Ovis aries: one gene and its partners. The protein of the gene in region 1 interacts with the protein of each later gene in a pairwise test. Links are inferred from orthologs where the notes say so. Each region holds a gene or a part of one and is shown in the gene's direction. Other genes may lie near its edges.

The links.
Region 2: the proteins of DISC1 (region 1) and MEMO1 interact in a two-hybrid assay, tested with the Homo sapiens proteins (2 studies listed by BioGRID and IntAct). The link is inferred for Ovis aries from reciprocal best matches to the Homo sapiens genes DISC1 and MEMO1.
Region 3: the proteins of DISC1 (region 1) and TNKS interact in binary tests that used the Homo sapiens proteins (3 or more experiments, as listed by UniProt). The link is inferred for Ovis aries from reciprocal best matches to the Homo sapiens genes DISC1 and TNKS.
Region 4: the proteins of DISC1 (region 1) and PPM1E interact in a two-hybrid assay, tested with the Homo sapiens proteins (2 studies listed by BioGRID and IntAct). The link is inferred for Ovis aries from reciprocal best matches to the Homo sapiens genes DISC1 and PPM1E.
Region 5: the proteins of DISC1 (region 1) and GNPTAB interact in a two-hybrid assay, tested with the Homo sapiens proteins (2 studies listed by BioGRID and IntAct). The link is inferred for Ovis aries from reciprocal best matches to the Homo sapiens genes DISC1 and GNPTAB.
Region 6: the proteins of DISC1 (region 1) and DPYSL2 interact in a two-hybrid assay, tested with the Homo sapiens proteins (2 studies listed by BioGRID and IntAct). The link is inferred for Ovis aries from reciprocal best matches to the Homo sapiens genes DISC1 and DPYSL2.
Region 7: the proteins of DISC1 (region 1) and CEP63 interact in binary tests that used the Homo sapiens proteins (3 or more experiments, as listed by UniProt). The link is inferred for Ovis aries from reciprocal best matches to the Homo sapiens genes DISC1 and CEP63.

What each region holds. Positions count from the first base shown.
Region 1 is NC_056078.1:3,971,973-3,976,191, forward strand, and holds part of DISC1 (disrupted in schizophrenia 1 protein), read left to right. Parts: intron 1-1,473; coding exon 1,474-1,603; intron 1,604-4,219. UniProt on the Homo sapiens protein: Involved in the regulation of multiple aspects of embryonic and adult neurogenesis. Required for neural progenitor proliferation in the ventrical/subventrical zone during embryonic brain development and in the adult dentate gyrus of the hippocampus.
Region 2 is NC_056056.1:91,907,526-91,911,744, forward strand, and holds part of MEMO1 (protein MEMO1), read left to right. Parts: intron 1-1,412; coding exon 1,413-1,524; intron 1,525-4,219. UniProt on the Homo sapiens protein: May control cell migration by relaying extracellular chemotactic signals to the microtubule cytoskeleton. Mediator of ERBB2 signaling.
Region 3 is NC_056079.1:24,768,485-24,772,703, forward strand, and holds part of TNKS (poly [ADP-ribose] polymerase tankyrase-1), read left to right. Parts: intron 1-214; coding exon 215-386; intron 387-1,524; coding exon 1,525-1,604; intron 1,605-3,444; coding exon 3,445-3,590; intron 3,591-4,219.
Region 4 is NC_056064.1:9,632,460-9,636,678, forward strand, and holds part of PPM1E (protein phosphatase 1E), read left to right. Parts: intron 1-483; coding exon 484-627; intron 628-863; coding exon 864-957; intron 958-4,219. UniProt on the Homo sapiens protein: Protein phosphatase that inactivates multifunctional CaM kinases such as CAMK4 and CAMK2. Dephosphorylates and inactivates PAK. May play a role in the inhibition of actin fiber stress breakdown and in morphological changes driven by TNK2/CDC42.
Region 5 is NC_056056.1:171,146,453-171,150,671, reverse strand, and holds part of GNPTAB (N-acetylglucosamine-1-phosphotransferase subunits alpha/beta), read left to right. Parts: intron 1-214; coding exon 215-414; intron 415-633; coding exon 634-853; intron 854-1,513; coding exon 1,514-1,627; intron 1,628-4,219. UniProt on the Homo sapiens protein: Catalyzes the formation of mannose 6-phosphate (M6P) markers on high mannose type oligosaccharides in the Golgi apparatus.
Region 6 is NC_056055.1:39,168,340-39,173,212, reverse strand, and holds the start of DPYSL2 (dihydropyrimidinase-related protein 2), read left to right. Parts: upstream 1-1,836; 5' UTR 1,837-2,132; coding exon 2,133-2,486; intron 2,487-4,873.
Region 7 is NC_056054.1:255,493,849-255,498,599, reverse strand, and holds the start of CEP63 (centrosomal protein of 63 kDa), read left to right. Parts: upstream 1-1,433; 5' UTR 1,434-1,549; coding exon 1,550-1,795; intron 1,796-2,475; exon of another isoform or gene 2,476-2,568; intron 2,569-4,342; coding exon 4,343-4,380; intron 4,381-4,751. UniProt on the Homo sapiens protein: Required for normal spindle assembly.

The sequences.
Region 1 (4,219 bases):
GATCTATAATTTTTATTCCCTGCGCTCACCAAGGAAGTATGGTTTCCAAAAGCTTTTGTCAGTTGTTATATGAAAAATGATATTTTATGTTGTTTGAATTTGCTTTTAAAACCATTTTTGATGATAAACCGTCATAATTCTCTTTTTTTGAGTTTCTGATGGATGTACTCATCTTTTTCTTCTTCTGTTGCTGGCACTCTTGACATTAGCAATATTTCCTTTTCCCCAACTTGTTGTTTGCCTTTTAACTGTGGTCAGCGGTGCTTTCACAGACACTGTTTCCTTGGATTGTTGGCATAGTTTTGCTTAGGGTAGACTTTTCCCCATCCTGCTGCATTCGGTTAGGAGTTGATTTGTCATCCTTTGAGGAGAAACACCTGCAAGCCTTCCGCAAGGCCAGCTTACCCGCATAAGGTGGCGGCCTGAGCCACATCCTCACCAGTGTTGCTTCAACCAAATATGCCAGCTCCTGTGAGCGTAGGAGAAAGAGCCAAACAGATTTTAAGTGGTTTTTTGATAGTCTTCTAGCACACTTTTTCCGAGAAGTTCTGACCCAAACATCTTCAAATCAGCCATCCCTCTCTGTCATGTCCACAGCCAAGATCTGCCCCGGAATTTGGCTCTGGATGGGTCCAGGCAGGGCTGTCCAATGATGTATAATGCAGACCACATGCATGATTTTAAATAATATGGTAGCGACAGTAAGATTTTTTATTTAGTTTTGGCTGTGCTGGGTCTTTGTTGCTGGACTTTCTAGATGCAGTGAGCAGAGGCTACTCTCTACTTGCCGTGCAGGGGCTTCTCATTGCCTGACTTCTCTGGTTGCAAAGCATGGGCTCTGGGTGTGTGGGCTTCAGTAGCTGCAGCACGTGGGCTCAGTACTGGTGGCTCACAGGCTCTAGAGGGCGGGCTTAGTTGCCCCTTGGCATGTGGGATCTTCCTGGAGCAGGGATCGAACCCATGTCCCCTGAACTGGCAGGCAGATTCTTAGCCACTTTAGCTCCAGGGAAGTCCCTACTCTCCATATTTTTTAAATGTAAGAAAAAAAAATAAGTGAAATTAATTTAAGAAATACATTTCATTAACCCAGTGTATCAAAAATGTTGTCATCCCAACATGTAATGAATGTGAAAATATCATTAATGAGATATTTGGCATTCTTTGTTTTCATACTGTTTACAATCTGATGTGTATTTTACGCTTTCAGTACAGATAGCTACACGCATAGTTATGGAGCCGGACGGTGCCCAGTCCAATAAAGCAAGGTGACTCTAGGCAACTGCTAAAGCCCCAACAGATTATCATTCAAACAAACACATACACTAGGGACCTCTTCCCCATGACCCTTCTAAGGACGAGGGCAGCTGGGAGCCACTTTGTGAGTCTTCTTTGCATTAACATACATGTAGATCTGAAGATTTCAGGTCACTCATATCTGTGCCTATATATGTGTGTGTGTGTGTGTGTTTTAAGAGCTGGCAGTGACGACCCCCAGGCCCGGCTGAGAATGGATCCAAAGACGTTGGAAGCCGCTGCTCAGGACAGTTTGCGAGTGTCCATCACCAGGCGAGACTGGCTTCTCCGAGAAAAGCAGCAGCTACAGGTGAGCAGGTGAAGACTCTTTATGAAGCAAGACAGCATTTTTCTAACACATGTGAGCCAAATGCAGCAAAGTGGGTCTTTGCTTGAATGCAGTCCTTAGAGAGTTGGCAGTGCACCCAGGAGCCATGAGGCAGAGCGAGGGGTGGAGACGGCTGGAGGGCTTGTTGGAGTCTCTTTACAAACAAGGGGTTGGAAGTTCAGCAGTGTTTGTGCTTGTTTTTGCTAGTACTTTACCTTTTGAATATGCTTTCCTTGTGTGCCAGGCCAATTTGTCACCTCTTATCATTTTGTCCTTGAGAAGTTTCTTTCGGAAGGCAGGGAAAAAAAAAATCTGAGCTGAGGCAATCCTTTATGGAAACTGCTATCAGATTGGACTGTGGATAGCGACTGTCAGGAGGCAGAGCCGTGAGTGGGGACTGGGCAAGGTGGGTGGAACTGGGAAAGACTGGGAATGACTGGGCTTCGTGGGAGCTCTGGGTTGTCCCGGAGCAGTGGATGCAAGTTGGCTGAGAATCATGGGGGGCTGGAAATCTTGGTGCAACTCTGAGTTATAGCCAGGAGGTGACCAGCGCCTCTGGAAGTTGACGGGCCCCCCAGAAGCAAGGAGCCTTGAAGTTCTGTCCACGCCTTCCAAAGCGTAGAGGACTTGAAGCCTGACTGGGGAACAGTGAAGGAACACGGACTTCTGGAAAATGCAGAGCTCTTCAACACGCGCGTCCACAGTGTGGCTTAGCCTCTAAGGCCGAGTGACCTTAGACAAGAGAATGGGTCTTGGAGAGGTTACTGGAAACCCCCACTCCATGCAGAGTCTTCTTGTTATGAGTTCACCCTTCCAATTCCATATGATAGCAAGGCAGCAAAGGGAGGCAAACATCATTGCAATTTGAAAAAAGTGAAGTGAAATCGCTCAGTCGTGTCCGACTCTTTGCGACCCTATGGACTGTAGCCCTGTAGCCCCCCAGGCTCCTCTGTCCATGGGATTTTCCAGGCAAAAATATTGGAGTGGGTTTCCATTTTCTTCTTCAGGGGATCTTCCTGACCCAGGGATTGAACTCAGGTCTGCCACATTGCAGGCAGATTCTTTACCCTCTGAGCCACGAGGTTTGAAAATGTTGTTTTTTAATGGCTAAGTCATGTCTGACTCTGCAACTCCATGGACTACATGTAGCCCACCAGATACCTCTGTCCGTGGAATTTTCCAGGCAAGAATACTGGTGGCCATTTCCTTCTCCAGTCTGAAAATATTTTCCAGTAAACTGGTGCTTTCACGCTCTTGAGCTCACCACGTTGAGCACACTTGTTGAGCAAGTTCAGGTAGCTGAAAATGTGAAGTCTGATTTTTGATTCTGAATAATATTCACCAGCTAGAGGTGAATATTCCTGATGATGTCAGAGTGCACAGAACATACTTTTAGCCCAGGCTACCTAGTGTTTGAGGGCTTCGTGGTAAAGAACCTGTTTGCCAATGCAGGAGACATAAGAGATGTGGGTTTGATCCCTGGGTTGGGAAGATCCCCTGGAGGAGGGCATGGCAACCCACTCCAGTATTCCTGCCTGGAGAATCCCATCAGAGGAGCCTAGCAGATTACGGTCCAGAGGGTTGTGAAGTTGGATATGACTGGAGTGACTTAGCGCACATGCATATACTGAGTGTTTGAAGGAAGCATTCTTGGCACAGTGCTGGGGGAGAAGAGGAGAAAATCAGTGATGGGGGCGTGGGGCCTGGCAGGCCTTTGTGAAGTCTTGGGGTTTTTTCTGACTGGAATGCGAGCCATGGAGTGGGGTTGGTTAACCAGTGAAGTGATGTAATTGACCACATTTCAAAAAGGCATTTTGACTTCTGTGTGAGAATAGGGTGGAGGGCCACTGTGGAAAACAGTATGGTGGTTCTTTAAAAAATTAAAAGTCGAGTTACCATGTGATTCAGCAGTTTCACTTCTGGGTATAAGACTGCAAAGAATTGAAAGCAGAGACTCAAAGATGTGTTCACAGAAGCATTATTCACAATAGTCAAAAGGTGGAAGCAACAACCCAAGTGCCTATCAACAGATGAATGGATAAGCAAAGTGCACATTGCTCAGTCCTGTCTGACTCTTTGCAACCCCATGGACTGTGGCCTGCCAGGCTCCTCTGTCAATGGAATTCTCCAGATCAGAATACTCGAGTGAGTAGCCTATCCCTTCTCCAGGGGATCTTCTCGACCCAGGAATTGAACCAGGGTCTCCTGCGTTGCAGGCAGATTCTTTACCAGCTTAGCTACCGGGGATGCCTGGGTAAACAAAATGTGGTATATAAATACAATGAAGCATTTAAATTCAGCCTTTAAAAGGAAGAAAATTCCGACACACACTACAGCATGGATGGACCCTGAGGACATTATTCTAAGTGAAATGAGCCAGCCATGAAAGGACAAATACTGTATGATTCCACGTAGACACCCGGAGGAGTCAGAGTCACAGAGAAATAAAGTAGAAAGATGGCTTCCAAGGCTGAATGCAGGGGGAGAGGGGGGTCAGAGTTCAGTTTGGCAGGATGAAAAGAATCCTGGAGATGGATGGTTAAGATGGTAAGTTTTCTATTACTTGTATTTTACTACAGTGGAAAAAACCCAAACAAA
Region 2 (4,219 bases), on another chromosome or scaffold:
AAAAGAAGCTGTTTGCAAAGGAAATGGTCACCTCTTTCTAAACTTTAGGCTTAAATTTTCATAATTTCAGGGTCTATAGAGTATTAGCATTTTGTTGTTAGGATATAGCTTATTAACAAAACTGGAATATTTCTAACCTTACTCCCTGGAATGGCTTTAGGGTATGTAATTTTTAAATTTTTAAAATGCTTTTAAAATTTTTATTTTTTCTTCCAGTTTTATTGAGATATAATTGACATATGACATTATAAGTTTTAAAGTGACACAGTAATTTGACTTTTCATATATCATGAAATGATAAGTTTAGTGAATGTAATCTCATATAGATATAAAATTAAAGAATCAAAATAATATTTTTCCCTTGTGATGAGAACTCTTAGGATTTACTCTCAACAGCTTTAATGTATAACATGCAGCAGTGTTCATTATATTTATCATGTTGTACATAACATCCCCAGTACTTACTGATTTTACTACTGGAGGTTTGTACCTTTTTACTACCTTCATCCACCCTCTGGGTCACACTTGATTTGTAAAACCTTGTTAGAGCATTCAGAAAATTTTGGTTTTGGATAGCCTAACAATGAGAATTTTTAATCAGATACAGTTTCATAGAAGAAAAGTCATATAGTTATTTGTTTCTTTCTTTGATATTGGTAAACCCATTTAAGGATGTAGTTATAAAAATGCTGGTTCTGTTCAATGATAAAATAAAAATATTCTTGTGTCTTTTTTGTATTAAATTCCATTATTTTCTTGCTATATAATGTTTTAAGTATAATTCATCTGAAGGGTCTGAATTGCTAAATCATTTTAAAAATTTAAGATTAAGGCATAGTCCTGTGGTAAATTTATATTCCAGTCTACCTGACAAGTTTAATTCTTAATGCTGAGGAAAATAACATTTTCAGTAGGAATTTTCTGTTCTTGGTATAACAAAACCTAAGGTGTAAAACAATAATCCTATACATTTTATTTAAAAATAAAACAAAACTCAAAAACTGTATTATTAAACCTCATGAGGAAGTAGACGGGGGGATTTTTCCATATTTCAGTAGGAGTTTTGATCAACCGTTCTTGTTAGTATCTACTGGTTGATTAAGGTCAAGGAAAACCTTAAACTTAGAGGTGATTTTAGATATAATGAAAGGACCTGATGATAATTTTAAATTATTATTTTTTATGTAACTATATAACATATGAAAATGCTGAGTAAATCATTACGTGTCTGACTGTTTTGTCTTATATAAGAAGCTAGTTGTTTTTTCCTTTTTTTAAAACTAAAGCCAAAGGAGAATATTACGTGATACTTTTGTCTCTTGCCAAAGCATGTAGTTTTGTGTTACTGGGTAGTCTCACAGGATAAGGATATACATTAATACATTTGTTTTACTATATTTTGAAACCTCTAGTTTACGGAGAACTATGGAAGACAGGAATGTTTGAACGCATGTCTCTGCAGACAGATGAAGATGAACACAGTATTGAAATGCATTTGCCTTATACAGCTAAAGCCATGGAAAGGTATACTAATTAATATAAGAAATCCCAGAGAAATCATGGATATTAATTTCTTTGGAATTATTTTAACTAGGGTAAGATGATCACTAGGATAAAGAGACTTAAAAATTCTTGTTACAGTGGAATAAAGAATTTGAGATTAGATTTTTCTGAATGTGGATTGAAGTTGGTTTTGAGTAGTTTGGCTATGAAGGTTAAATGTATGAAGTGGCATGGTTGTTTCATTAGGTAGAAATATTAACAAGAAAACCCATGTGTCTGTGTGTTTGTATGTTATTGGTTTGCCTGTTATCTTATTCATTATATATTTATTTATCTCAGAATAACAATTATATTCTTTCATGGTATAGTGCTCCAAGTAAGTAATCATAAAATTTTAGATTTGGGAGTAACTTTGGAGGTAATTTATTTCAGCCCTTATCAAAGTATGTGAATCTCTATTATAAAAGCAATTATTATGTAGTAATATACAATAAGTGAGATAATCTATATATAACATAGATCTCTTATAAAAGAGATCTCTGTTATAAAAAATGCTGACTTGGTACCTGCTAAGAGGTCTTTGAGGATAGCATGCTCACTAGACTATAAGTAGAGTGAAGACAGGGACATTTTGTTTTCCACTTTTACCCCAGTGCCTAGCACAGTGCCTGTCACATAGTAGTCATTATTTTGGTAAAATGAAAGAATTGTTTTAAGACCTTTCTTTCTTCTTTAGGGCAATATTCAAATTAGAACATTTTTCTTTTGAAGGTCACGTTTCTGTAATTTTTTCAACCATTTCCTTTATATGGACTTAACATTCCATATGTTTTTAGTTTGATTAGTTCTAAATAGGGTGAGATTATTCCTTCTCTGGTCCTCATTACTGTATTCTCTTAGGAAAATAAGTGGTATGTCTTAGGTTTACAGTAAATATTTGTTAATTAAATGTGTTAATGAAGTATGAGATTAACAATTTTTATGCTGATATGGCTTACTTACTATTGTCTGATATATTTGTGGTCAGCTGAAACCCCAAGGGTTTTTTATACTGTTAAACTAGATTATTTTCTCCTTTTGTGCTTCAGTGGTTGATTTCTTTTTAACCCTAAAAGTGAATGTCTCTTCAATTAATTTTGTTTAATTTTTTCATGTTGGTTTTATTCTATTATTGCAGTTTTGGGAGTTATTTCCAGTCTTAATTCTGTTATCAAAGTATTATTTATTTCTCTCAGTCTTACGTTGTCCACATCTTTTCACAAAAATAACTATAAGGGATTACATAGCTGAAGAAGTTTGCAAAAATAGAGTGATATTAAATTGTAAGCAGTATAATTTTAGGTTGTGAAAGTTGCTCAGTCGTGTCCGATTCTTTGCGACCCCATAGAATTCTCCAGGAATTCTCCAGGCCAGAACACTGAAGTGGGTAGCCTTTCTCTTCTCCAAGGGATCTTCCCAACCCAGGGATCGAACCCAGGTCTCTCGCATTGCAGGCAGATTCTTTACCAGCTGAGCCACAAGGGAAGCCCAAGAATACTGGAGTAGGTAGCCTTTTCCTTCTCCAGCGGATCTTCCTGACCCAGGAATGGAACCAGGATCTCCTGCGTTGCAGGTGGATTCTTTACCAATTTTAGGTTATTTGTGTTTTAATACATTCTAATTCTTCAGAAAATTTTAAAGCAGTATAGCCTGTTTACTTTTTGAAATGCTAGTGTCATCAGAGCATCCCATTCTTCAACTGCAACAGGACAGTAAAAAACTTTTGTTCCTGGCTAAAATGTTATTTCAAAAGTAAAACAGGTGGAAATGTAGGAAAATAGAAATTTGAAACCAGTGAACAAAATTTATGTTTTTAATTTCCTCCCTATTAAAAAACATTGAATTACCACTTTTAAGTATATCACTTCTCAGGAAAACCTTCCTTATCTCTCAGATTATGTTGCTGCTGCTGCTAAGTCGCTTCAGTCGTGTCTGACTCTGTGCAACCCCATAGACAGCAGCCCACCAGGCTCCCTGGTCCCTGGGATTCTCCAGGCAAGAACAGTGGAGAGGGTTGCCATTTCCTTCTCCAGTGCATGGAAGTGAAAAGTGAAAGTGAAGTCGCTCAGACGTGTCCGACTCTTAGGGACCTCATGGACTGCAGCCTACCAGGCTCCTTCGTCCGTGTGATTTTCCAGGCAAGAGTACTGGAGTGGGGTGCTGTTAGGATCCCTAATACTGACTCTTTCAAAAGCATCTAGTACTTTTCCTTTGTAACCTTTGCTGCAAGCACTGCTTATGTCACCTAGCTTACCATTACCTGTATCAGTTTCCTTTACTGAATAACAAATTGCCTCAAAACTTATGACTTAAAATCATAACTGTTTTTATTGCTCACAATTTTGGGGTCAGGAGTTTGAGTAGGGAACACCTTGCTCTGGTCCACAAGACACTGACTGAGATGACTGGAGTAGGCCTTGAGGATCCAAGATGACTTTAGTGCTCACTTTTACTTGAGATACCTCATTTGTTCTCTATGGCCTGTTTTTTTTTTTAATCAGCCAGGGCTTTTGTATCTTTTTGGCCTGTCTCTAGAAGGATGGTCTGGATTTCTTTACATGGTGATTCTGGGTAACAGAACAAAACCAGATATTTCTTGGCTTATTAAGGACTAGGCCTAAAACTGCATATCATGATTTCCACTGCATTTTGTTTGCCAAAGGAGAAATAGATGCTA
Region 3 (4,219 bases), on another chromosome or scaffold:
AGGCAGTCATTCAGGGAATAGATGGGTATATTATAAGTTTTAAGAAGACGGTATTTCTTTAGAATCAGTATGCAAGAATTCGTGAATAGTTTATGAATAGTCTATTGTATTTTTCATAAAAGTTGACAATTGATTTTTCTCAAGAATTTATTTACTAGGGTATAAAGGGGAACAAAACAGCTGCTCAGTCCCATGTGCCCCCTTCATATTTCAGATGAATGCACTGGACACCCTTGGTCAGACCGCTTTGCATAGAGCTGCCCTTGCTGGTCATCTGCAGACATGCCGCCTGCTGCTGAGTTACGGCTCAGATCCCTCCATCATCTCCTTACAAGGCTTTACAGCAGCACAGATGGGGAACGAGGCCGTGCAGCAGATTCTGAGTGGTAAGTTCACACAGACAACCTTGCTTTCTGTTCTTCCTTTTCCAGTCTGTCCACTGATATGCAGACTTTGTGCCCCTTGTTTTAAGGGGCTCTATGGAATGTTTTCTTGGCCTGAAAATTTTTCCTGCCTTTCTTTACTTACAATTTAGCCTGTGGCCCTGCCCATCAACATTCTCCTTTTTGTAATTCTTAAACTTCAAACATTCCAAATTTTTCTCTTGTACTAAGAACCATTTAATAGGGAATTTTAGGTTAGTTTCTCCAAGTTATAACTATAAATCAGGGAAACATATAGCTATTTCATCAGAATTTCTCATAATATTATATGTAGGTTTTAGAGGTAATTGATAAAATGGGGAGGAAAGGATTGAATAAATTAAGCAGATTGCTCCAGCAATGCTTTTAAAATGTCTTCTAAATGAATACAATTAAAATATATGGCTGCTAGTAAAAGATAAAATTAAATAGTGAATCACAAATGAAAATTTTTTTATTATTTTGATAATTCTTCTTAAAAATTGATTAGTAAGATAAAACATTATATGGGTCATTAAATGCCTATTTTAGTATGTGCCAGAACTTTTTAGTGTAAGTCTTCATACTTCTTATTGATCAGGAAGGATAATACAAATAATAGAATTTGGTGGTAAAATCTTGCCCTTATAAGGTTTTGTTTTTTTTTAATGAGAATTCTTCTTTTTATTTAGATGACAGTATAAAATTTTAAACTAATATTTCTGCAAAAAATTTGTATGTCTATAGACCATATACAGGCTGAACTTTTCAGTTGTACCTGTATTTACTAATCCAATTCCAGGTTATGTCTATAATGACTCCTGAAAGAATACATCAATTATATAGAATGTATAGTAAATTATTGGGGTTCTGTTCTGGGCAATATTTTAAAGGTTTGTTTAACAACCCCTATTAATACCAGGTTTGAGTTCCACTTTTAGAGACCCTCACTTTCATCTCACAAGCCTGTAGTTACCAACAGTATACAGTAGTAAAGTTTTAATGGTACACTCTGACAGCATTTACGTGAACATCTCTCTTTCCATTTACCAAATAATTTTCCCTCCTTTGCTACTCTGTTTCCTTAAAAACCAGCAGTAATCCTCCCTTATCTTTTATGCAGAAAGTACACCTATACGCACTTCTGATGTTGACTATCGACTCTTAGAAGCATCTAAAGCCGGAGACTTGGAAACTGTGAAGGTATGTCAATGCTTTAATGTCTTGGGTAGCTCTTTGAAACCTTTGCTTCCCAATTCATTTTAAGCTTGTAAGTGAAACAACTCAAATCCAAACAATAAGAGGGATGAGCAGAGTGGACTCATAAGGAGAGATCTTTATTAAGAATTTCCTAGTATGTGCCTTTCATTAAATCATTTTTTAGTCACTTTACTTCTGGTTATGTGAATGCTCTTTTTATTTCTTTCCACTTTTTAAAATTAAAGTGTTATTTTGGACCACACTCATAAATTTGCAAGCTAGTGCAAGCCCAGGTAATAGTACAGTAAAGTTTGAAACAGTGTTCTTGACCTTTTCTAAGAGATTCTCACCTTTGCACTAGGAAATCATCCTTATGATCCTGCAGTTGGGAAGTATTTTTTGATTCTACAATTTATGCATTAATGTAGCTACAGAATCACTTGTCATGAAAAGATACAATCTGACCAAATGATGATGGCTCTTTAGGTTATAGAGTCTCTCCCTTATGCCCAGACTTCCTTCTGTTGTGTAAAAAAAAAACTGTACTACCTGAAAAGTCCTGTGTTCACCCTACCAGCCCCTTCTCAGTATATCTATAGGTGACTTCCAGGTTCTGAGTTTTTGTTATAACAGCCTACTACAGTGGCAGGAGCAGCAACCAGACTTGTCAAATACCTGGAAAGCCCTTGACATCAGACCATGTAGCCTAGAAAATGTCACTTTTTCTCTGCTTTTTTTTTTTTTTTACCTTTTTTAGCTTTCTTTTCATTATCTCTCTTCACATCACTTCCCTAAATTTAGAATAATCAAATAAGTAAGCAGTGACTAAATAATTAAATAAGTAAGCAATGGCAGAAAGATGGCAAGATTAAAAATCAGGAAAATGAAATTTGAGTTTTTATTCTACCCCTTACCACTCTAGGACATAGGATGTCACTTAACCTCTCTGAGCCTTGGTTTTTTTATCTGTAAAATGGAGATGATGGTTAACTTCTCAAGTAGATAATAATTCTCTCACTGGAAAAAAAAAATGAAATTCTTTATAAATTATTACTCAGATATTTGTATTGTCATCCATCTGTCACCACCAATGATGCAGCCTCTCCAGCCTGACTTTGCTTCCACTGCTTTGTAAGCAGACAGAATTGAGCTTGTGCTGAGATGATAATGTTCAAAAGGAAAATGAACAGGTGACAAAGAGGCGATTTGGAGGACACAGCTGAAGGAAATAGAAGGCCAACAACTAGTATGATCAGAATCAGTTTGACCTGTAGACCTAAACAAATATCCCCTTGAAGATCAGGTAAAATATTGTTGATTGCTTGGCTCTGCTCTGATGGATCGAAGGGCCAAAGAGGTGGCCCAGACAGAATGAATGTAATTTTTCCAGAGCCGCCTTGTTGCCATGTCAAAGCAGGCAGAAATTTTGGGTAGTTCTACAGTCAGCCAGGTTTAATCTTACTTGAGCAAAGGGTGGTTAAGAGCGTGCTGGTACAAGCAGACAGGCTCTCACGGGGAGGAAAGCCTTCTAACAATGAAAGGAAGGCACCATTTGCCTTGGCAATGCTTGCTTTATTATGTTTTCTTCTTTTTGATTAGGATTTTGGCCAGGAAATATTGAAAAAGGTGAAATTGCTGTGCAAACATAAGAATATTTGTAGACACTGTAAAGCAGAACATCTTGCTGATTTTAAAACATCACTTGTATTATCTAATCAAAGAAATAGTCATTAGAAAATTACAACTTATCCAAGATGCCTGCAGTATTTTGGTGCAAGATCCTTAAATAAATACTAATGTTCTGTTTGTGTTTGTGTGTGTGTGTGTGTGTGTGTCAATAAAGCAACTTTGCAGCCCTCAGAATGTGAATTGCAGAGATTTAGAGGGCCGGCATTCCACGCCCTTACACTTCGCGGCAGGCTACAACCGTGTGTCTGTTGTGGAGTACCTCCTCCACCATGGTGCCGATGTCCATGCCAAAGACAAAGGGTATGTGTTAGAATGTCACTGTGTGGAATTCATTTCCTTGATACTTTAAAAAAAAATTTTTTTTTTTCATGATAGATTTTTTTCCCCTTGTTAAAAAAGTAATTTTTTTTTTAAAAGCTTAAAGCATAATGCTTAAAACTTTGTTGTTTTATAGTAGCTAAGTCATGTCCAACTCTTTACAACCCCATGGACTGTAGGCTTCTCTGTCCATGCGATTTCCCAGGCAGAAATACTGGAGTGGGTTGCAGTTTCCTTCTCTAATGCATCTTCTCCAGCCCATGCATCAAACCCATATCTCCTAAAGTATCAGGCAGATATATTTTTACTACTGAGCCACCTGGGAATCCCCCCAAATTAAAACTTTATGAAAATGTATAGAAAGTGAAAAGTCCCTCTCATTCCACCTCCTAGAGATTACAACATCAAAATTTTGTTGTAATTGTGAGGAGTTTTGAAGCACATGTGTACCAGTGTGTGTGCTGTTGTGATGGGGCTTGTTTTTAACATAAATGAAGATGTCATCCCGCAGTCTGCTTTACAGTTTGCCTTTTTTATAATAGTATATCTTGAATGTCTTTCTGTATCAGTACTAAGCAGTTCATTTCATCCTTTTAATGCCTATATATACT
Region 4 (4,219 bases), on another chromosome or scaffold:
GGTGGTTTAGCACTGGACCATGAGGGAAAAATTTCAGTTGGGTACCGATCTGTACGTGCCCTCGGGCAAGTCACATCGCCCGCCGTAGTTTTCTTCCCTGTGCATGAAACGGAATAGAGGACTTCCCTGGTGGTCCAGTAGTTGAGACTCTGTGCTCCCAACACAGGGCACAGTTTCCATCCCTGGTCAGGGAAGATCCTGCATGCTGCATGGCGTGGCCAAAAAATAATAAGTAAAGTGAACTGATAATTGTCTCTGCCCTGCATATCACAGATAAAATCTATATGTGTGTGTGCACATATAAATACATCAAGCATGGAAAAATGCACTGAGAAATAGGAATTGCTATTTTATTTGTGAAATCAAGTTATTGGTAGTTTTGCTTCCATCTGAAAAGTCTGTATTATCTACAAATTGCTTCTCAATGAGAATTTGATGTCTGCTAATTTTTACTGACTCTTGTTTTATTTATATTACTTTCAGAGCTTAAGATGTGGGACCACAGGAGTGGTGACTTTTATCAGAGGCAACATGTTACATGTGGCCTGGGTGGGTGATTCCCAGGTTATGCTTGTGAGGAAGGGCCAAGCTGTTGAACTAATGAAGCCACACAAACCAGACAGAGAGGTAGGTATGCTCTGTTCTGTTAGGGCACACGCCATAGGCAGTTTTCTAGTTATTACTTTTCAGTTATTATTATAATTATCACCATTATCTCAGCAACCAAGCCCACCTTTCAAAGGAAGAGTAAAGAGAACCCTTTCCGGGAAGCCGATGAATATTATATCTGTTGTTTACTGTTAAGGTAGCTGAATAAATCTTGAATCCAATTATTTGCTTCTTTCTGTTGCATTGCTGTGCAGGATGAAAAGCAGCGGATTGAGGCCCTTGGAGGTTGTGTAGTCTGGTTTGGTGCCTGGAGGGTGAATGGAAGTCTGTCTGTCTCCAGAGCTATTGGTAGGAAAAACCAATTAATTATTTTTTCTCCAAACTGTCCTCTTCCAGAACACTGTTCTTCATGTTAATGTGATACAACAAGGGAACCTGAGATAATAACTTAGATTTTCAGAGTGCTTGTTATTGTCTAATGCCTCTTTTAATTAATTATTTAACCTACACATTTATATAAATTCCATTTTTAAAAGGGAACTATATTAAGAGATATAGAACTTACTAGTTTCTTTTTTTTAAAGGGAAGCCTTTAATCTCTGGAATACAAATCTGCTTAAAGCCCAGTGATCCTCATTTTCCATTCCATTTGGGTCAAATTTAGCTTAAATCAGTATTTTCCAGAAAATGGAAGTCCCTATATTTTATCTTGCTTATATCTTTCATTTTCTCATTGAATTCTAAAATGACACAAACAACATGCTTTTTGGGTGAAAATAATTTTTACTATATTAAAATTAGGAAACTAATTCTACTCTGTGTGGAGTGGAGTTGTTAGATTACCCTGGGATTTCAGAAAATCTACTTCCCTGGAACCTAAATTCTTTAAAAGAAGGGTAAAGTCGATGAAACTCTTTGTTGAAGATTCAGAGTAAAAAGCTGAGCTGGTTGGACAGAATGTGAGGGTGTGCCTCAAAGAGCGGGCTACGGCCGTTTCTTTCTCACTTTTGCACCTGGGTCTGTTGCGTTGGATTTCATGGCTTAGCTTCACTTTGTTTTTTTTGTTCTTTTTTTTTTTTTAAAGACCAGATGAATGTGTGTGTCTCTATGGGTAATATGCGTGTATTCAGTTCTGTCACTGCCTCCTAAAGAAATGAAGTGCTTTGACATAGGATAACATGGATAAATGGAGTTGATGTCTGATCCCCAGATTTTGCTTATCATTACCAAAAAATTCCAGAACATTAATAAAATCTCAAAGGACTGATTCCATTTCACCATTGATGTGATTTCCCTCCCACTCTTTGGGAAGGTGCTGGCAAGCTGTGAAGTGGCCCAAATGTGAGCAGCAGAAGGCGGAAAGAAAGAGGAAGCTCAAAGATTCTGCAAATACCTCTTGAAAAATTGAGAGTAGGCTTCACCTTAGACCAAGGGAGTCATTAAGAAATCTGGAATAAGGCCAAAAGGGGGAAATTTATGATTCTTAAAACACACCTTCATATAGGATTATTTTTGACAACTCCAGAGACCTCTTCTCTTGATCTTACTGTCTTTGTCAGAGTATTGCAAGATATCTTTAATGCTTGTTATAGAAGCAACTTTACTAGAGAATTCTTGTCATTTCTTGCTTCTAAAAATATGACATAAGGGGAAAAAGCAATGTCCTTGAATAAATGCCAGTTGAAGAGGAAACAGGGCTGACTGCAGAGAGGAAGTGACTTCTGAGGTGGATGGGAGGACAGAACCTAGAGAAGGCCCCCGGGAGGGAGGCGTGCAAACACATGGGCGTCTCCGAGGGTGCGTCCTGTTTCAGGAACAGGGACAGGTGCAGGAGGCTGGGGCGGGGGATGGGGTGAGGAGAGGCAGTGTTGGCGCCAGGGTGCGGAGGGGCTTGAATGCCAGCCTCAGGGTCTGGGCTTCACTGGGTGAGTGAGCCGAGGGCCCACGTGGTCAGGTTTGTGTTTATAAATATTTAATGATTACAGAAGATGAATTAGAGAGAAAAATCTAGATGAGAGATCATTCAGAGATGTGGACAGCTAAAAAAACAGGAATACAGAAGAGTATAAATTGATGAGACAGAAGTGACAGCTTTTGGGGCGAAAGAGGAAACTTCTAGGTTTCTGACTTGTGTCACTAAGAAGATGATAAAACATTTGTAATAAAGCAGCAGCAGTTGAGGGGCAGGGAGGAGGGAAGATAATGAGTTCATTTTGGACATATTTGCATTCTGGGTGCCTGTGGGACGTCTCAGAAGAGGTAATTTATATGCAGTTGGAAATACAGATCTGGAGCTTAGCAGAGTTGTGAGTTAGAGATTTGAGAATTCATCCCATTTTGGAAATAACATTAACAACCTGTGAAGTGACTTTATATATATCTATCTATGTATGTATGTATATACAGTAGTTGAAACCACAGAATGGATGACACTGCCCAGGAATATAGCGTGAAGAGAGACCAAGGCTGAGACTCATTGCTTATGGTAGAAGACCGTGAAGCCATACTCTCTGGGTTTGTGTCTTGGCCCTGCCACTTGACCAGCTGTGGGCCTAGGTGATTTACTGAACTTCTCATACCTGTTTGTTCCCTTGTAAAGCAGGACTAGTAATAGTACCTAACTATTGTTTTTGTATTAGATAGTATAATACACACACATACACTTAAACCCTGCCTGGCACAGACTTAGCATACAGTGATGTGGGGTGCTATTATTTTCTTGGGGGTGTTGCTATTAAATGAAGGAGCCAGTAAAGAAAAACAGGAAGAGACACAGACGCAGGGTATCAGATGCTGGGGAGGGGGTTTTCTAGGCGTATGGAGTCAACAGGGTCAAATGCTACAGAGGTCAAGTGAGTTAAAAATTCCCAGAATTTTGAAAACAGAAAATGGTTGTAGATAGAGGTAAATTGCTAGAGATTGTTTTTTAAGTTAGGAGGAGGAATTGAGGGAATTCAGGCCCGGTAAACTTAATTTTCTTTGACGTAGGAAATTATGCCATCTACCAAAATCCAATAACTGAATTGGAAAGAGTCAGAGAATGTAAGATTTGGAAAGCTCATGGAGTAAATCAGGGGGCTAAATAAAGAAAAGAAAAAGGACTCCTAAGCAGAGTTCAACTCTACTCAGAAAATAAATGACATTAATACTTTAAAAATGAAACACATTTCAACTGTTTCTCCCCCTGAGCCCTTTGGATTGATGATCCAGAGTTGACATGATACAGTTTCTGGCATATGGAGAGAGGGGGTAGAAGACCAAAGGATGGTGCCATTTCTACTGTGAAATGGGTGATCATGCCCTCCTACCAAATTTGGGCGAAATGTCATGAATTTGACATCTAACAGTAGAGCAGGTGAAAAGCCAGAACTCTGGCAGCATTTTCTCTTGTGCAAATCTTTGTATGTTCTGTTCCAAACTAACAGTTGCAGTAGCCTTTTAATTGAAGCACTAAAACAAGGTTTTTGGGAACAGTATGACTCAGATCACATTTATTTTTAGAGCTGGAGTTCAGAAAATAATGGTAATAACACAGTCAGGTGGAGTAGGGGACGGGGACGTCTAGTCAGGTGGGTTGGTGGAGGACGCTGACTCCCCATGATTGGAAGCT
Region 5 (4,219 bases), on another chromosome or scaffold:
TCAACAGCTTGTCTGCAGTATTTTCACTGAACTCGACCAGGTGAGCCCTGGTCTTAGGATGCAGAAGGAGACCTGTTTAGTGCTCATTTCATTTTCCCCACACGACAGTGACTAGTTATTGCCATGCTACCTGAAGTAGTACCCCCGTCTCTTGTTAACACAGGACACTTGTGCAGTAAATGTAACGCTGTGCTGGGTGGAATTCTCCTTTCAGGAAGAAGAGTCACTGAAGACACAACTGGCCTACTTTACTGACAGCAAGCACACCGGGAGGCAGCTAAAAGACACATTCGCCGATTCCCTCCGATACGTAAACAAAATTCTAAACAGCAAGTTTGGATTCACATCTCGGAAAGTCCCTGCACACATGCCTCACATGATCGACCGAATCGTGATGCAGGAACTGCAAGACATGTAAGTCTCGCTTATGTCTGAATTTTCTGCTTGTGCTCAGAGCCAGAGCAGCTTGAAGTTCACATCCTCGCCATGTTGCGTCTATGGCTCTGACACGTGATGACTAGTGTGTTGAAAGTATTATCTCAGCAGGAGGGAAGGAAGATTCTGATGCCACAAGTGTCGGGTACCATACATATCGTAAGTATCCAGATCTCACAGTGTGTTACATTTGGACAGGTTCCCTGAAGAATTTGACAAGACGTCATTTCACAAAGTGCGCCACTCCGAGGACATGCAGTTTGCCTTCTCTTATTTTTATTATCTCATGAGTGCAGTTCAGCCGCTGAACATATCTCAAGTTTTTGATGAAGTTGACACAGACCAATCTGGTATCCTGTCTGACAGAGAAATCCGCACGCTGGCCACCAGAATTCACGACTTGCCTTTAAGTTTGCAGGTATTGTAATTTTATCCCCCCACCCCCAAACCCCCAAATTTTGTGACATTTTAAATGAAACTTTTAAGTTTGATACTTTCTCTTTGCCCTGCATACTTCAGTGTAATGCAAGTACAAGTAAACGAGGGTGTTCACAACTAGTCCCTTTTTAATGCCAGGATTAAAATCAGTTTTGAAGTTTGTGTTTCATAGGATGACTTTTTTTTAAGACTTTTGTTAGGGATTGCTATGGTATTGTGTGGAGAAGAGGCAGACCATAACTGCATAGAAGATTCTCGTGATAGGTTCATTCAGGGGCTTCAGATGTGGCTGAGTGGAGCCCTCAGCCAGACCCGTGGTGCCGCAGAATCCCCTCTGCCTTGGCATCCTCTGGTCCCAGGAGTGGGACCCTCAGGAATAATGGGCACCAAGAGGATTCCAGCTGTAGCACACCCATCTGGTGATCCCCTGGCTCACCTGGTATCGGTGGGGCCTCCCGGTCCTGTACGTTCCACTTTGAGGCAAAGATGAGTTGTTTGTATTGTCTCAGTCTGCTCTGTTTAGAATCTCACAGTCAAACTCTGAAGGTAGCACTTACACTTCGGTGACTTTAACATATTTTTAAAACCACAAGCATTACTTGTATGTAGAAGGTTTATCCTTTTATTTTTGCTTTGTTAGGATTTAACAGGTCTGGAACACATGTTAATAAATTGTTCGAAAATGCTTCCTGCTAATATCACTCAGCTAAACAACATCCCGCCAACTCAGGAAGCGTACTATGATCCGAATCTGGTGAGTGATGTGGGTTCATTTATGTAAAACAGAGAGTCCATCCTTATTGGGTGTTACTATCATTTCTGTACAGCACTTCAAAAACTAGACACTTGCTCTATGTTTATAGGTCTCTGGTAGAAATCAGTAGCACCACCAATAATCTAGAATAATTTATATTTTTCTTTGGAATATCTTTTTTTCCTCCCTAATGGATGTTAAGCTAATATTGAGATTAGTTGCTTATATTCTATAAATAGACAACCTTTTACTAAGGATGGCAGAAGGTAACCCTGGAGTATACTCATTACTCAGGAGAGCAATCCTGTTAAACATTAACCAAGGAAATAGTCAGGCTTCCCTGATAGCTCAATTGGTAAAGAATCTGCCTGCAATGCAGGAGACCCCGGTTTGATTCCTAGGTCAGGAGGATCCCCTGGAGAAGAAAAAAGCTACCTACTCCAGTATTCTGGCCTACTCATCAAATTGAACCCCATCTTCCCTCAAAGCTAAGTTGCTTTGATGATGGAACTTTCTGGATCTTACCAGTAGGGGCAGTAGATGATCTGCACACAAATGTATTAGAGTGCCACTTGGCTGAAATGGTTGGAAGACTTTTTTGATTGTAAGATGCATCCCAGTTTCAAAGAAATGAAACTATTAAAAAAAAAATGTGCATTTAGAATTGATGGAACAAGGATATGATACAGCCATTTATGTGGTGCTCACAGTTAATTTTACTCATACATACATATATATATATATAGACACACACACACATGGAAAAAAATGTTTACAAAATAGGTGGTGGGTTAAATCGTAGGTAGTTTTCTTTTAAAATCATATAGTCTTTTGTATCTGGCTTTTTTTTTTTACTGGTAGTTCTTAATATGTTTTTTCACACTGCTACTGCTGCTGCTAAGTCACTTCAGTCATGTCCGGACTCTATGTGACCCAATAGATGGCAGCCCCCCAGGCTCCCCCGTCCCTAGGATTCTCCAGGCAAGAACACTGGAGTGAGTTGCCATTTCCTTCTCCAGTGCATGAAAGTGAAAAGTAAAAGTGAAGTCTCTCAGTCATGTCTGACTCTTTGCAACCCAATGGACCGCACCCCACCAGGCTCCTCCATCCATGGGATTTTCCAGGCAAGAGTACTGGAGTGGGGTGCCATTGTATTTTCATATTTTCTGTAATGAATAGATAACTTTCATAATCAAAATGTTTTTTCAAACCTAAGTAAGTAAAGTCACTCAGTCGTGTCTGACTTTTTGTGACCCCGTGGACTGCAGCCCACCAGGCTCCTCAGTCCATGGGATTCTCCAGGCAAGAATACTGGAGTGGGTTGCCATTTCCTTCTCCAGGGGATCTTCCCGACCCAGGGATCAAACCCGGGTCTCCCACATTGGAGGCAGATGCTTTAACCTCTGAGCCACCAGGGAAACCTAAGTAATTATTATTTAATTTAAAAAATTTTATTTGGCCACATAGCATGCAGGATCTTAGTTCCCCAACCAGGCATTGAACCTGTGTCCCCTGTGTTGGGAGCATGAGAATCTTAACCACCGGACCACCAGGGAAGTCCAAAATAACATGTGTTTTTAAAAATTGACCACCTTGCGAATGTTCAAGCCCTATAATTATCTGGAGACAAGATGTGTGTAAATGAATGTAGAGAAGAGTAATGTAATCACTCTTCTAATCAGTTACAAGTAACTCTAGTAATCAGTTACAAGTCTGATTTCTGAAAGAAGGCAGTCACTCGTTTAGCACTCACTGCACACAGCAGGGATGGTGTTTCTCACTCGTGTTCTCAGGGCCCGGGAAAGCCCACCCACGAGGAGACATGTGAGGGGCACCTTGACAGCTGCTGGAATATGCAGACAAGCTATACGTATTGCTGGTTATGTGTTGGTCAGTCCAGCATATGAGACGGGTTGGTGTATAGATATGTGTCACCGAAAGCCAGCTCTAAATATTCTAAATATTCTAAACTGTGAAATCAGTGAAACTGAGATAAGGTGTAAGACCTGGTGTTAGCCTAAGGGAGTTTGCTGTAGTGGGGTAAACAGGCAAGAATCAGCAGCCAGAGTCTGAGACTAGCTCTGGTTGTGGGCCCTCGGGAGGCCTGGCTGATAACAGATCAGCAGCTTGTCTCGTGAGGCGCAGCAGCTTCTCTGGTATGTTAGGCCCACACAGTGAAAAGTGCTCTATAAAACCCAGACTGTTACACATGTTAGTAGTTCTCTACAAGTGTGTTCTTAAAGATTAAAAAGGCACATTTGTAATCATTGTAGGTGTTTTCCCTGCCTCCTGAGAGAACAGAATCACAGTTAAAAAAAAGAAATTAGATTGTGTAGACTAAAAGACATTCCTTCAAACTGTGATAATTTTTTTTCTGTTTTCCCCAAATTTGGAATTACCCCCAACAAAGCTAATATAATCAACTCTGAATCATCTGGATGTCAGTATCCTGGTTTTAAAACACCCTTTATTGTGTGTCAGGATAACTGAAGTTCTCTCAAAGATCTGGGTACACCCTTTTCCCAGGAGGGGACAGTGAGCCGTGAGTTCCAGGCTGTCCTGATTTGTCCCTTCTGGTATCTTCTTGGTGGG
Region 6 (4,873 bases), on another chromosome or scaffold:
CAGGTGGAAGACCCCACTGGATTTGTTGGATCATTTATATAGTCACCTTGGGCAAAGCATCTAACTCTGTTTCCTACCCTGGAAAGTGGTGATAAGGAAGCACTCATCCCAGGGGTCTGCTAGGAGTAGGAAATTTAATTCGTGTGGAGGCACTTTATTCAGATGCAAAGCACATCTGGTGCCAGGTCCAAACGCCCCGCCTCTGCTTCTCTCATCCCCTGCACAGGTATGTTCCTCTGTCCTTCCTTCTCATCCTATCATGGTGGGCTTATCTTCCAGCTGGGATTGGTTGTCCTCTAAGTTTAACTCCATTCACCTTTCCCTGGCAATTGTGGAGGAGGGTTGGGTATCCGCATTTAGTCCTTCCAAGGGCAAGGGCTGACAATGGGACCGAATCTTTGGTTGCTCAGCCGGGCACGACGCTCCTGTGGTTAACAGTTTCCCAGTCTAAACCCGCCCTGATCACTGAGCATGCCCAGAGCTCCTTCTCGAGCTGCCAAAGGATGGGCATCATTTCTGCAGGGTTTTGCCACTGTGGAGAGAGGGGCGGGGCTGTAATCAACCCTGGGTAGGGACTGAGACGTGGAAAAGACACGGGGAATAGCAGTAAGCAATGAACGGTCCTGGGAGGCCGTGTTACTGGCCTGATGTACTGGCGTTACATCAAAATGCCCCCTGGATGCCCACTAATCCCATGGCTGAGGCTGATCTACCCGTGCATACACACCACGTCCCCATACACCTTTCCGCTGCTTGGCCTCACACAATTCAAGGCAACCATCACAGCCGCGCCCCACATGCTGATCCTGCACTGGACGCGCGCGCACTAGCGCCCAGGCACGCGGCTTCTGGCAGCCTAGGAAACCCCGCGGCTCTGGCGCAGTGCGCTACAGGGGCTGTGGAATGAGGCGGGGCGCCAGTAGGGCTGGAGATTTGGCGGGGTGGGCTTCCATGTGTATCTTTCCCCCTTTGGCGGGAGGGAGGGGCGGAAGATATCAAATGAAGACCTTCTGCCGGACCCCTCTTGGCGCAGTGGCGCAGCGACGGTACACGTCGCCCTCGGCCAATACCGCGCACCCGCATCCCCTCTCACTATACCCTTAAGTTGCCGCGCTGGGCTGTACCTGCCAACTCCTCGCCTTGCTACACTTGCACAGACTGTAGATCTATTTCCTGTCTCTACACCCACCCACTTCGTATTTGCTACGCCCTCTGTATCTCTCCCTGCCACGATGCGCCCCACCACCACCACTGTGGGAGCAGTAAGTGAGAATCACGTTTCAATTTCTGCTCCCAGTGTTCCACCACGGCCGGTGGTTAGACCGAAGCTCTAGTGTCCTCGCGCCTCTCACGGTCCCCTCTCTTCCGCGCGGCCTGCGCCATCTCTTCTCCAACCCCAGTGCCGCCCCTCCTCTCCCCCGCCCCTCCACCATGGGTGTCCTGGCGCCCGCCAGCGTGTGCCACTTTCCCCACCCATCAGCTCACACCCGGGGCAGGGGGAGGGAGCCCTCCCCACGGTGGGCACTCGTCGTGGGCCCACCTCCGCAATGCGGTGAGGAAGAGGCGCCTGGGCCGGGCAGGTCCGGGAGAGGGGCGCGGGGACCAGGGACTGCGCCCTACGATCTTTGTCCCCGCGTGCCCTGCCGGGTACTCACCGTGGCGCCCAGAGCGGTCAGCGGGCCCTCCGCTGCGCATCCATTAGCCGGTGGTCTGGCAGCTTCACTTCCGGAGCGAGGCCCTCCCTGGCCTCCCCGGCTCCTCGCTCCCCTCCCCGGCGCGCCGCGCCCCGCCTCCGCCCCGCCCGCGCCTCGCTCCTCCCGCAGCTGCCGGGAACTGGCAGCCTCTCCGCTCTCGCTGCCGCAGCGGCCACCCGCCCAGACCCAACTTTGCTGCTCGCGGGAGCTGGCGGGGGGCGTGGGCAGGGAGGGAAGAAAGCGGGGTCAGGGGGAGGGACCGTGAGGGGTGGGTCGCTCGCTCGCCAGCCCTCCTTCCTTTTTGTACACCTTGCGGTAGGCAGAGAGCGGCAGCCGCGGCTGCAGCCGGGGCAAGGGGTTTGTGCCTAGAGACAGGCAGACGTAGGGACTGGCAGACGGACGGACGAACGGCAAGGACCCTCCCCGAGCCCCCACACCATGGCTGAGAGGAAGCAATCCGGGAAGGCGGCAGAGGACGAAGAGGTCCCTGCCTTTTTTAAAAACCTGGGCTCAGGCAGCCCCAAGCCTCGGCAGAAATTCTGTGGCATGTTCTGCCCGGTGGAGGGGTCCTCGGAGAACAAGACCATCGACTTCGACTCGTTGACGGTGGGCCGGGGCTCGGGGCAGGTGGTGGCCCAGCAGCGGGACGTCGCACACTTGGGCCCCGACCCGCAGACGCCCTACTCCCGGCAGGGCCGGCGCGCCGGCGGGGAGCCATCTGTTGAATCGAGCAGGAAGGTGGAGATTCGGCGGGCCTCGGGCAAGGAAGCTCTGCAGAACATCAACGACCAGGTTGGTATGGGTGGTGGTCGGGGGAGCGGTGTTGGAGACCGAGAATAGGGCGTGGGGATCGCCCCTCCCTCGCCCCCTTCCAGCTCGGCGGAGAACCGAGGATCCCAGCGTAACCCACAGTCCTGCCCCGCCTCGAATATCGCTTCTTGCAGGTGCACACACACCCCACCCTGCCCGACCCCTCTCTGTGCTCGGGCTCGGTGGTGGGCGGCCGTGCGTCCACAAAGGCTGCCCGCGCCTCCCTGGGCCTGGGAGGTGGAGGATGGGGGGTAAAGGATGGGCCTATCCCCTACTGGGGAGGGGGTAGCATAGTTGGAGGGGGAGGGGACGGGCCGGGTTTCCATTCTTCTTCAATCCTCCCGGGTGGCTTCCGATTGCAGCCGTGGCTGGATGCCCCACCCTTTTTGATGCAGCTCCGAGCATGCAGTGGAGGGTTCGCGCGGAGGCCAGCGGGCTCCCCCGGGGTCGGGAAGGGCGGGGGCCTCGACGGCCGCTCCCCGCCGCGCCCTGCGCACTCTCCCAGCGCCTCTCCTGGGCGCCCTCGGCGCTCAAGTCCCGAGCTTGAGGTCAGGACCATGGCCAGCGCCTCCCCGGACCGCAGGGGAGACTATCTCATCACCCTGACTCCTGTTCGCAGCGAGAGAAGAACCCAGGAGGCAGTGGAGTCACGCGAGGAGACAGCGACTCTCCTAAATAGCCCATGTGGAGAACAGAGTTCTGCTAAGTATCTGAGCAAGGGCGTCTCAGAGCGCTCCCCCCACACCCCGCCACTATTTGGGAGGGCTTTGGGGATGAGGACTAAGTGGATTATAGTCAAAGGGTAAAAGAAAAGAGAAAAGCCCTCACATTTTGAATAGATTGTCATCGATGAATTAGACGCTCCCCACCCCATACTGTGTTAAATGAGGAAACAAAGAAGACCAATTTGGTAAACCGAATTTCAGAAAATGTCATCTCTGGGAAATAAGTACAGTGTGCATTTTGTCTTTGCATACCACATGTGCTTTCCTTTATCAGGGTGACCTTCATACTTGTACAATTTTTTTCTCTCAGCCTTAATGTCTCAAGTGATAAATTATAGTGTGAAAGGTTTCAACTCTTGTTTGCTGTTTGTCTCCCATGCCCATTGGTGAAGATGAGAAATTGGTCAACAATCGATTATTTATTAACAACCTATTGTGTGTGGGTAGGGTGGAGATTAGCTGTAAAAAGTTCAAGGTGAGTTCTTCTTAAAGATCTTCTAGAGTCGTTGGGAGTGCTCCAGACAAATCCACTGAGTGATAAGCATTTATCTGGCACTCAGGTTGTAGGCTGACAGTGAACTCATCAGAGAACAACTAAGGGTTGATGGCAGTAGTCTGAACATGTTCCTGTTTCCTGATATGGCATAGAGTTTTGCAGCTTTTGACTTATACAGGACCAGTTCTAGGAGAGAGAAACCTCTCGCTGTCACTTTTTAATGACAATTAGTTACTTAACTGATTCTTCCTTGCCCAGCTCGGTTCTCTGATTTATGATTTTATGGTGGGGGATCTTTGCCACCCCTATATCACTATGGGTCAGTCGGAAGAACTTAATCCAAGAACTCGTGTTATTCCAGGGGATCAGACAATCGAAGTACATGTTTCTAATAATGCGACTTACACTGAAAGCTGAGGAATGTGAAATACACTGAGTGAGGACTAGACCTTGATTATATGGCATCATGGTTGTGTAATCACCTCATCTTCAACTAGTTGTGATGGAGATTCTTGTGTCCTAAAGGGAGCAGAAAAAATGCCTTGAGATAAGGAAGAGATCATTTAAAAATGGCAGATCAGAGGGCAAAGGTTGAAAGTGGCCATCTTGATAAATATGGCAGTGAATTAAAACTCAAGTTTGAAAGGCAAAGTTTCTCTGGGTTGAATAACACATCTCTTTTCCTGCCCATTTAGAAGCTTGGGTGTTTGATGAACACTCTCTGAATTTCATAGAAATTCTAAATTGTAAACCTAGGGCACATGGAGGGGGAGATTTGAAGAGGAGATTCTTAACCAATACCCCAGGCAGTTTTAGCCTCTGCAAACCACATTTGCTGTAGGTATTCAGTTACTAGTAACAGGGTTATTCTGATTTGATCTTTTAGCAGCCTTCCTTGAATTTTCATTTTCGATGTTGCCGTATCACGTAACGGCCGTTCCTGTGGGAATTTTTTCATTCATGACTAAGAGCATTTACCAGGATCAGTGTTTGACTATTTCTTATCTATACAAGAGAGAAAAAGGGATTGGGACACACACACACACACACACACACACACACACACATGCACACACACACACTCACATATAGCAGTAATGCTTATTTCCAAAAGTATGGTTGGACCCACCACTTTGATGGAATTAAGT
Region 7 (4,751 bases), on another chromosome or scaffold:
AAAAGATGATGTAATCCAGCCACTAGGGTTCTCTAGGCTTTCTAGTGTGGGTTTTGGCATTGGATCATCCAGGGAGACTCATCTCACCTGGATTAGATTACAGTTTCTTTATAACATCACAGTACCTCCCAGCTGATCTTCCTAGTCACACACAGATTCCATTTTTTGGTAAAGTTTTCTCGGATCACTCAGCGTCAGCATGCATTCTGCCCTTGAATGGTTCCTTGTTTTTATGATTCACTAGGCAAGTTAAGTTGGCTTTATGACTGATGGTTCAAGCATTATTGTTTTCAATTGCTGTGCGTAAATTTTTTATTAATGATTCAGCATGTTTTCCCTCAATTTGGCCTCAAATAGTTTTTCACCTATTCTTCTTTAGAATATATCTAACTTGTCACACTTTCCAGCCTTTGCACCTAAAAAGGTCTCTCTGCCCCATCACGAACACCTATTTTTCCTTCCAAACTCAAAGTTGAGTGTCAGCTCATCGGGGCTAACATCTCATTTCCAGAGTTAGGCGCTAAGGTGCCGTCACTCTTCAGGGGCTGGAAGCGTGGAAAGTACAAGGCGGGCAATGACCAGGTCACAGCCAGCGTCCCAGGCACTTGCCAGTCCCCATAATTAACTGTTACCACTTTCCTGAACAAAATCTTACACACGTGACTGTCCCAAAGCTTGGAATGCTCTGTCTTCTTCCTTTTTTCCTCAGCTAACCCCCAGTCACTCTAAACAACTTAGCTCCCAGGTTGCCTCCTGCAGGAAGCTTTCTCTAAGCTCCAAGAAGAACGCGATATCCGCCCCTCCGCAGGTTCCATATTTCCCGGGGCGCAGTGAATGGGCCCCATCAGGGGCTTGTTACATTGCCCGTTACAGGGTCTTCCCAGACAAGCGGTGCGTGCGTTTCTTCGGGACAGGGGCAGTTTTATTCACCTCTGTTTTAGAGATCGGTAAACTTGCAGTTAAAAGAGCAAACCTGGAATGCCCTTTCCCCCCCGCTAAATATGACCCTCTCGGGCCACCACCGTCCGTACAGGCGTGGGATCCCGCCCCATAACCTCGGCTTCCGGCCCAAGGCGGGCTCTACCAAATGCGGAAGCGGGGGAAGTCCAGGGCCTTCGTGTAAGTCCTTTTCTACCCTCCCGACGAGCGGTAAGGGAGGTAGTTATCAGGGTGAGGTGAGGGCAACGACCTCTGCCGATAGGATCGGCCGAAACCCGAACATGCGCTTCTCCTACACTACCTAAGCTAGGGCGCGGGAAACCTTTACCAGCACTGGCCCAGCACAGCCAGAACCACGCCCCCAGCGGTCATGTGGCCGAGGCGCCCTGCTCTCCGATCCCCGGAAGTCGGTGAGCCCATTTGGCGGGGCGGAGGGGGGGGGGGGTCAAGGAGGACGTTGCTTCAATTAAAAGTCAGGGAGCAGTAGGCGGAACGAATGTTCCGAAGACCGTGACTGGACGTCAGGTTGGCGGTGACGCGCGTGCGCGCCCCCGTCCGGAGGTAACGGCGGGAAGATTCGGGGGCGCGCTCGTGGCAGGCCTGTAACCGCATGTGTGAAAGTCCAACAGGCGACGGGTGCCGGTGTCCGGAGCCGGAGGCCGCCCTGGCTGCAGTGGGGCCGCAGACTGAGCGGCCGAATGGCCGGGGGCCGACTTCCTCAGCCGCCCGCTGGCCTCCAGGCTCGCCTCCGCCGGCCCGGCTCCGCCCCGGCGCCCCGCCCCTCCTCGCCGCAAACGCTTCGCAGACCCGCGAAGCAAGATATGGCCTCCCACGGCGCGCAGTCCGGGCTAGCCAGGTGGTCAGCCCTTCCCCTGAGGCCGGCCGGCGGGAGGGCGGCGGGGTGGGCGAGCTGCTCCGCTTCTCCCAGCGGAGTCGGCAGCGAGTCAGGCTGCCACTTCTGGGGAGGTACCCCCGGCCCAGCCCTCCCGCCTGGGCTGCCTCATTTGGCTAGCATCCTTCCTAGCCTTGTTGAGGCTTAGGTTGCTGACGGCAGGTGATAGTGGTTCATTTATGGGTGGGAAATTTAGCAAGTTTTTAAAAATAATTGACTTAAAAACCATAATGTTAGTTCCAGAGGTATGGTAATGTGGCAGAAATCATGAAGGACAGAATTTGGGGAACCCTGAACTTATTGCTCCATAGAAATCAGGGATGCGAAATAAAGTGAGAGAAAAAAAGGGATGGGCCCATAAAGCACTATAATCATGAACATATTTGGAAGCAGTAAACCTAGGCTCATAATGTAGTTTTTACAACATCAGAGAGTAAAAGTGAGCTTGCTGTCAGCGACTCGTGTTCATTTACAGCGTCTAGTTAAAGCATGCGTATTGCGCAGAGTAGTTTTCCTTAAGGCTTACAAACGGTTCCTTAAACCAGTGTTAACATTTTTTTCCTTCCTTTAATAAAACAGTACTGTAGGATTTGTGCCCTGTAGTTTTACAGTTCCCCACATGCTTGCATTTAACTATTTTCTAGATACGAAGAGGAAACCATAAGGATCATTAACTACATGTTACCTTCAAATTTTTCTATACTGATCATAGCTGTAGCTTAATGATATAATAAAGGGTATGTATTTTCTTATTTGAAATGTAGTATTATTAGCTTTTTATCGAGCTTCTTGCCTTTTGACTATATCATCAGTGATCAGTATAGTAAGAACAACTGAAATTAAAACGGGCTAGATATTGATAAACATTATAGATTCAGGTTTTAACAGTTATTGTAGTTGTTGTATGTATTAATTGTATTGATGCCACTTGTCTCCCGTTAAAAGGTAGAACAACTTTGGCCCTTCCCGTTCTCAGTTAAGGTAGTAGTGGTATTGGACGGTAATAGCATCACTAGTCAACTTTATTAGAGCTTCCTCCTTTTAGGAAGCTTGTTTGAAATTCAGCTAAAACCGACACTGACCTGGGTTTCAGGAATTGAATTTTTGGTTTCTGTGTTACTTTAAATATTTTTCTTTAAGAACTCAGATTGTGTTTTCAGCTTTACAAAACCAGTTTTGTCATCACATCTATGAAAATTAGTAAAAATCCTATAGACTGATGCTGGGAAAGATTGAGGGCAGGAAGAGAAAGGGGCAGTGGAAGAGGATGAGATGGTTGGATGGCATCACTGACTCATTGGACATAAGTTTGAGCAAACTCCAGGAGATAGTGAAGGATAGGGAAACCTAGCGTGCTGTAGTCCATGGGGTTGGAAAGAGTTGGATATGACTTAGCGACTGAACAACATTGTCAGTATTCAGTCTGGGTTCAGATTTTCCCACCTGTCCCATACATGTGTTTTTATTTTTATTTTTTATCATACATGTGTTTTTAAAATCAGCTTGTTTGGATTAAAATCCCATAGAGATCTATGTGTTGCTAAGATTTTTTTGGTTGGTTTTGATGAAGATCATTTTAAAAGTCTTTTATTTATTACAATATTGCTTCTGTTTTATATTTTGGTTTTTTGGCCACTTGGTATGTGGGAGTTTAGCTCTCTGACCAGGGGTGGAACCAGCGACCCACTGCACTAGAAGGCAGAGTCTTAACCACTGGACCTCCAGGGAAGTCCCTCAGTCTTATTTAATGTTACAATTTTGTTACCTCCCCTTTTTCCCTTAACATTCTAGATTTAGTTCACTGCATCCAGATGCCATCTTTTAACTTGTACACCTGTTCCCTTTATTTCCTTTAAAGGGAATAAACTGGTAGTGAGATCTAGATTTGCACAGCCCATATAGTAGGTGTCAGCCACCTGTGGCTATTTAAATGAATTAAAATTAAATAAAACTAAAAACTTCAGTTTTCTAGTTGCATTGGCCACATTTCAAGTGTCTGATAGTCACATATGCCAAATAGCTACTCTTCAAATGCTGCATATATAAAGTGTCTTCATAATTGCATATAATTCTGTTGAACAGCACTGATCTAGAAGCTTGATCAGATTCAACCTTGACTTTTTTGGGGGAGGAAGCAGAGGAAGATTTCATTGTTGGTGCAAAATACTTAAGTGAGGCATGTTATTTCTGAGTTTCTCTCTTTCTTAATGTTAAGATTGAGCAGTGTGGGTTCAGGTATTGTCAGCCCAATCCATTCATCATGAAATTATCCATGAACCATTCACTTAATGGTGAGATCCTTTCATGGATTTAAATTGCTTATATCCATTGCATTAGGGGCTGCAATATAGTGATTTTCTGATTCCATCATTCCTTAGTATTTATTAGCTGGAAATTTTTTATGAAGAACTTTTTAACTCACCAGCTGTTTGATAACCCCACCAGCTATTTGAAATACAGTTTGTATAGGAAAGGCAAGAAAAATGCTTAATTCTTTCCCTCTATTTTCAGAGCACAGTAATGAGTTGGTGGCCTAGCAACCTTCAAAGGTAACCATGAGGATTTTCTTTTTTTTTTAATCATCATGAACTTATAGATTTGAATATATTTTAACTGTCTCAACCTATTGCAGTCTCTTTTTTTTTGCATACTTAAGTTGTTGGCAAGTGGCAGCCTGTTTAAAGTTGGCTCCTGTCCACTTTGATATGACCAGTGGTAGTCTTTGAGAGTTTCCTTATTTTCTTTTAAAACATATTCCTGGCTCACTTATACATTTCTGGCCACCAAGAAGCCCTGGTTCCTTGAGGTGATTTGAGAGAGAAGTCTGGGTGCTAGAGGTCCTCTTGCTACTAGGTTGGTCATTGGTTTTAGGATTTATAGTAGCCAAAGTTAGGAAATAGATACATTTTAAAAACAAGAA